Linked DNA regions of Xenopus tropicalis. The protein of the gene in region 2 purifies or fractionates together with the protein of the main gene of each other region. This does not show direct contact. Links are inferred from orthologs where the notes say so. Each region holds a gene or a part of one and is shown on either strand. Other genes may lie near its edges.

What was found. Proteins that work in one complex are often made in the same cells at the same time.
Region 1: the proteins of exosc3 (region 2) and dis3l purify together in Homo sapiens (affinity purification with mass spectrometry; 6 studies listed by BioGRID and IntAct, counting the BioPlex papers as one, with this or other methods). This does not show direct contact. The link is inferred for Xenopus tropicalis from reciprocal best matches to the Homo sapiens genes EXOSC3 and DIS3L.

What each region holds. Positions count from the first base shown.
Region 1 is NC_030679.2:117,124,829-117,128,487, reverse strand, and holds part of dis3l (DIS3-like exonuclease 1), read right to left. Parts: intron 3,614-3,659; coding exon 3,086-3,613; intron 2,911-3,085; coding exon 2,756-2,910; intron 1,997-2,755; coding exon 1,830-1,996; intron 725-1,829; coding exon 579-724; intron 1-578. UniProt on the Homo sapiens protein: Catalytic component of the RNA exosome complex which has 3'->5' exoribonuclease activity and participates in a multitude of cellular RNA processing and degradation events.
Region 2 is NC_030677.2:113,704,513-113,707,760, reverse strand, and holds part of exosc3 (exosome complex component RRP40), read left to right. Parts: intron 1-871; coding exon 872-1,021; intron 1,022-3,094; coding exon 3,095-3,246; intron 3,247-3,248. UniProt on the Homo sapiens protein: Non-catalytic component of the RNA exosome complex which has 3'->5' exoribonuclease activity and participates in a multitude of cellular RNA processing and degradation events.

The sequences.
Region 1 (3,659 bases), on a different chromosome or scaffold from region 2:
AGCCATCTGTTGCTCACAATGTTTCACACACTGGCAGAGGAAAGATGTTTACACTGTCACCATTGTGCCACAATTTTGTACAGGCCTGGCTTCATATGGTTAGCCTAGAATATTGCCAGTGTTTGTATTATTTGCCAAGAATTAAATCTAGGAAGATTCTGGCCCTTTCCATCTTACCAAGTTCTTAAATTAAAGACAGGCAAAATGCTAATGAGAGAATTTAACTCTTGATATGCTATTTGTTAAATACAAAGTTCAGACAGAGGAACCTAGGAATATCCCTTTATGCAACAATACTGTCAACCTCAGTATTAAGAAACAACCACACACCCCATCCAGACCAGGACTAACTTGTTTCAAGTGTTCAGACTAGTTCATTTTTGTCACTCTTCCAAGGAAGGAGGGGTATGTACTCATGGGTAAAAATATTGTACTTCTAGTGCTAACAAGAGTGACTCAGTAGAGGGCCATCTCAATGAAATGTAAGAATTTGATGGTAAGTCATTCTAAGTTTTGAAATAACATCTAACAAGGAACCATGCATATTGGAGTGATCGGTTTGTTGCCATATATATTACCTGGGTAGGAAGAGCAGCACACCATTTGTGCGAATGCCGTATATAACAGCATCACTAATACACCGCTGGTCAGAGTCAGGATCTTTGTCCTTAAAGAACATGCACTGGAACAACTCAGTGGATTGTTTCTGGCAATGCTGGGCTGCCTGCGGAGTATAAGAGGGTGCATTAATGGAAACCACTTATATACCGCTGACTCCAACCATTGAACATTTACATGGAAAATCGATAGCAAATGTAAAAGCCAGGTATTTTAGGACAAGAGAGTTTCTCAGACAAAACTAAACTAACAAGCAGAGAAACTAAGGGTGTTTGCAGGAAGAACTTACTATACCTTTAGGAAAGCCACTTTAGGAACACATTGTAATGTCAGGTAAAGTAGCTATGTGCAGTAAAGAGCAGATTTCATAACCATAATCCATTAGTCACAGATATTCCCATTATATAGTAAATCTTTTTTAGCCCTTTACGGACACTTGGCACCTTTCTTGTTACATTAGTGCTAAATGATAGTCATTGCCCACTAAATGGCCAAAGGCTTCCAGACACTCACTGTATTCAGGAGCTTAATACGTTTAGTTTTCATTGGTGAACAGCTGCACACAAGCCTAACATCACCAAGCACAATGCCAAGCCTCAGTGCCCCGGCCCATGGAAACATTCACTAGAGTGACAAATTGAGCTTCACCATCTGGCAGTATGACAAATAAGTCTGGGTTTGATGGGTGCCAGGAGGATGCTACCTGCTTAAATGCATAATGCTGACTGTAAAGCTTAGTGGAAGAGAAATAATAGTCTTTTTCTCCTGGTTTACGCTAAAGCACCCTCTTACAGGGAAAGCAAACCTTATAATGACATTCTAGATCATTCTGTGCTTTCTACTTTTTAGCTATATTTTGTGAAAGGCCATTTCTGTTTCAGCATAATTATTCCTCCCTACAAAAAATGAGGTCCATACAAAATTGGTTTGGCGAGTGTGCTCCCTGAATGTACCATCATAGAAAGTGCTTTACAACCTAATTTGCAAAACTGTATTGCTGCAGAGTTGCTATGGATAACTGCATGCTAAATAAGGCTGAAAAATATTTCATTGAAATTCTAGAAAGTTAAATTAGGATTCACTGTGATATCTGTCTCTGGGAAGGCTCTAGCCCCTTGTTGCTTAGATGGAATTTGGGCAACAGAATTTCAATACAGAATAGAAATGTTCCAATTGCCAGTCCTGCCCTTTGCACTTGACTGTACACTTACCCGGTTACGGACATTTATGTGCCGACACAGCTCTTCCAAATCCTTGTTTCCAAGCAAATTATCCTTGGGGCCTTTGTTAACAGCGGCCAAGAGCAGCCTATGCACCACTATGTCAGCATAACGGCGAATTGGAGAAGTAAAGTGAGTGTATTTTTCAAGAGCCAAACCTAAAAGACATTGATATGCAAGTTATACACATGCACACTGCTGCTTAGAACAATCATCTTACAACAACGGTCTCAATGTATAAATGTCATGACAGAAGCTGTCCAAAATGGAAAGTCTGTATAGCAGCTAAATAATTCTAGAAAATAAAGAAAATTATACAAACCCTTCCTGGCTTGTAAAAAGCCAGTTCCTTTCATAACATTTTTAAAGGACCAGTAACACCAAAAAATTGGAATGATTTATCTGAATAATGTAGCACATATTTATACCAAGTGCTTGTCAAAATATTTTCTTGGAATATAAGCTCTTGCTTTTATTATGCTGTGTTTGATTTCAGTATTGCAGTGTTCAGCTATTTTGTTTTACTTATCTTAGGAGGTCCTGCCAACCCTATTTTGTTCAATGAAAATTCAAGTAGCAATAAACAGATCTGCTTATCGGATGAATTTGGTAAACCAAACTGCGCTGATGCTATTTGTCCCTCAAGGTGATGATCAGATTACAAGAGGGACCCTATATAGACAAGTTAAGAGGATACATGCTTCATAGATATGACCAGTTATCAATCTGCTAAAATCCTTTCAAACCAATGGGCACATCATTTGAAGGCTTCATCATTAAAACCAATCCAATCTAATTCAAGCAATGCTAGTGAGTTAAAAAACATGCGGGACTCTGTTTAAAACATTTCCATTTCTAAATGTGTTATTGGCTGTTTGAGTAAGACTTTATACAAATGCAGAGTTTGTTATATTCACCATAGTGATAGAACTCATCCTCAGTGTATGAGCCTGTAGAGAAGTACCGGGCATTAGACATAGCCTGTGTAGCCATCATTCGCAACAGCTGGTTAACCAGAGGATCAGAAGGGTCATTTGCCTGGTCAAGTGAATCTGCAAGAGCTTTATTAGATCTGTCAGAGAAACAAACAGATGTGAACGTCATTAAATTGTGAGACCAGTTGCTCAAATCTCCTGATAAGCCCTGATAATTAATGGATGTTGGCTTATCCAGCCACATTTGATATTGGCTAGACTTGATCCAATGAACCTATATCACAAAAGGGTTACCTGGAGAATAGATATTACCTTGTATCAATGGAAAATCCTCTGGCCTTTGCACATTCCTTCAGCTCTTGGAAGAATTCCTGGCGAGCTGGGGGGTGAAGGCGTAGCAGTGCATGCTGAGGGTAACACTCCCAAATCTTCTTGGCCACCCAATGATTGGCAAGGATCATACACTCTGCAATGGTCTCATGCATCTGAAGTGGCTGCTTAGGGACAAGGTCATCAATGCTGTGTTTTTCTCCTAGCTGGACACGTACCTCTACCCCTTCCAGTTCTAAAGCTCCACTCATGTCTCTCCGCATCCTGGTGGCATGAGCTACCTCAGTCAACTTGCCCACTGCCCACAGGAGCTGCTCCAGTCGAACTGGATCCTGCTTTAGGGGATGCAATTCCATTTCAGTATTTAGAGGCTCAAGGTCTCCATCCATCAGCTGTTGTGCCACCTCATAACTGAGCTTGTACGAGGAGCGAATAATTGTCCTGCCATACCATACTCTGCGGATCTCATACGTACTGCTGTCCATTTCCCAGATTACACTTACTGCATACCTGTCCATAAAATAAAAGATGAATTAAAATTACAGAAACACAGATG
Region 2 (3,248 bases):
TAATTTGGAATTATTTCTTAGGGTGATAGCTCCCCTTTAAGGTGGCCATACACATTCAGATTTTAGTCTTCCTCTAACGAACGTTCGGATATCGATTGTTTAAATGCGACAATCTAAAACTAAGATTTAAATTATAGGACAAAATCCTAAAATAATAAATTAAAGGATGTTTTGAAAGTAAAAGACAGCAATCGTACGAAAGTGACATCCTAGAAATGCATTCCAAGCAGGGCTGGAACTAGGGGTAGGCAGAAGAGGCACCTGCCTAGGGCGCAATGGTGGCCCCAATGGGGGCGCCAGTTAGCTTCCTCTTCTTTTACCTACCTCTAGTTCCGAACCCTGTTTCCCCACTGCAGCAGCCCTGGCAACCCCACCACCCAGTGTGCAGGCATGTCTTCTCACTTGCGCATGCAAGAGGGGAGGGGAGGGGCAAGCCGACCAGGTTGCCTAGGGCGCCTGGTTGGCTTGTCCCAGTACTGCCCCCAAGGATGTTTTGTATAATTATGTTGGTGCGTATATGTATGTATAACTTTCATTTTTTTTTTTTTTTTTATATATGGTGTAAATGTCTATATGTCTTGATGTTTTTTCCCACACAGCTTTATAAATTATATAAATACATTTTATTTTATAAACATATTTACTGATTTAACCACACGCACACTTTTACACAGTACAAACACGTGCATTTAACCACACACATACATTTTAACACACACGCACACACATACATTTTAGCTCCATTATGCTTGGGTGTATTATATTGAGATACTCATGGGATGGGGGTGCAGTTAAACTCTAAACATAATCTGTTATTGCTGTGAAGGAACAACGGGGACACACTTTAATTCTTCCACTTGTTATCTTATAGTATGTACCAGTGAAAGGAGACCATGTTATTGGAATTGTAACTACAAAATCAGGAGACATATTTAAGGTGGACGTTGGAGGCAGTGAGCAAGCATCATTGTCCTATCTGGCATTTGAAGGTGCAACAAAGAAAAACAGACCAAATGTTAAGGTAAAATGGTTTTCTGAATTTTAGAAATTTATCAATGTAGAACTCTGAGTTAGAAAGAAGTGTCCCATCCACATGCTATCATCATGGTTGTAAAGAGTTAAGGGATAGTTTACCTTTAAATTAAGGTTTAATATGTTGTACACAGTCTTCTAAGTCAGCCATTTTGTGTATTTAAATTGATTGTTATTGTAGCTGTTTGGTTGCTAGGACTTAATTGTCCCAGCAACCAAGCAGCAGTTTGAAAGTCAAAATGAAAAATGAATAGGAAAGATAAGCAATAAAAAAAATAACCATAGGAATTGAACTGCCTCAAGAAACATGGCTTAAGAACTATCAAAACGTCTGTAAAGGGAGCTACAATGTAGCAATAATGCAAAGCTCACTTAAACTATTCCACAGGACCTATTATGTGCCTGATAGACTTTGTCGAATCTACCCTACATCCTCGCCACCTTGCTTCAGGAACTGTACTTCACGAGGCACCATGTGGCACATCTGGTGGACCTGCCCAGTGGTCCAAGAACTGCGGACATTCTTACTAAACTGTTTCACACAAACATTACCCCATGTCCAAAGGTAATGCTTCTAGGACACAAACCACAAAACCTCAATAACCCAGCACAACGCCTTACACAGCACGTATGCATGGCAACAAAGATCCATATCGCAGCCCAATGGAAATCAAACTTATTATATGTTGAAAAGGTCCTGGAAAAAATTTTATATATACACACAAATGAGACTCTCAAATACCAACTGGAAAATGAAACAGAGTTATACCTGCAGATATGGGACACTTGGATACTAAATTAAGACTATGGGTAGCGTCCCTACCCCCAACCTGAGAAAAAATAATAGACAACTGTGGGAAAACGTAAACCAATAACAATGAATATCTCATACCAACACTGAAACACTGAGCGCAAAAAGTTATGTTGATTTCTGTTCTTTCTCTTTCCTTTTTTTTTTATGTTTCTTCCCTTCTCTCCCCTTATCCCCCCCCCCCTTTTTTTTCCCTCTCCCCCTCATATTGCCCTATTATGCACGTAAATATGCAGTTGAATGTAGAAGACTCTCTAAGTCTGATAATGCATCTAGCAAACAATATGCTATGTCTACAAAATATGTTAAAACTAAGAAAAATAAAAGTATACAAAAAAAAAAAAATAACCATAATTAGCCTCAAAGCCATTCTGTTTTTGAATGGATCAATTATTAGATATCATATTTGGATTCAGGCCAGAAAGAAGCAGAATAGAAAAGCTAGAAATGCTAAAACCATGAACAAAAATACAAAAAAATTGGAAAACAAGGAGAACTATACCCCCGGGCTATAAAAGCCCCCTTAACTATCACTGCCTTGACCCCCCTCACCTCTCCCTTACTGCATAGTTTCTAACTTTTAAAAATGTCCCTATCGCTAATCCTAAGCTAAAAGAGCAGAGTAGTGCAGCTGCGTACCTGGCTGACATCTTCCCTGTGAGTGAACAGTCTTCGGGTCTCTCCACCTTGCTTGTGCATACCCAGGGGGTATAGTTCTCCTTTAAAGGGGAACTTCCACATTGAGCTGATAGCCTTAGGGTTATGACCAACCATGGCATTACCTTGCCTTTTGTTTTACCGTTCCCTGGCGTAACCCACAAAAACACATGTATGGCTTGCTTCTTATTGTCATCCGTTTAGAGGATAGGTGTGATTTGTTTGAGAATTTGAAAAACAAAAAAAACGAAATAATTTGTAACTCTTTTAAACAGTTTTCAAATTACAATTACACAGAATCTCCAATGCCTTTAGGTAGTTAAGCAACAGTTGAAGCCCTGAAGACTGTATATCCCTTATGTATATCTTTTACATATGTTGATGAGACAGGTGACTGGACAGTTTGAGTAGGAGATATGTAAAGTGAGTGAAAGTGGAGTAGATGAACAAACTACATAAAATTTCCAGCTCCAGTTAATTTACATTTTTTTCAAAGCAAATCACACAGTAAAAACTGAAAGGTCCAATTAAAGACATTAAACAAACCCAGCATTTTTTTTCCTTCATTCCTAACTGAATTTTTCTTTGTTACAGGTTGGGGATCTTGTGTATGGGCAGTTTATTGTTGCTAATAAAGACATGGAGCCAGAGATGGCTTGCATAGACAGCTCCGGAAAAGCAAACGGGAAGGGTGTCATTGGACAAGATGGACTCATGTTAAAAGTCTCTTTGGGTTTAGTAAGAAAGT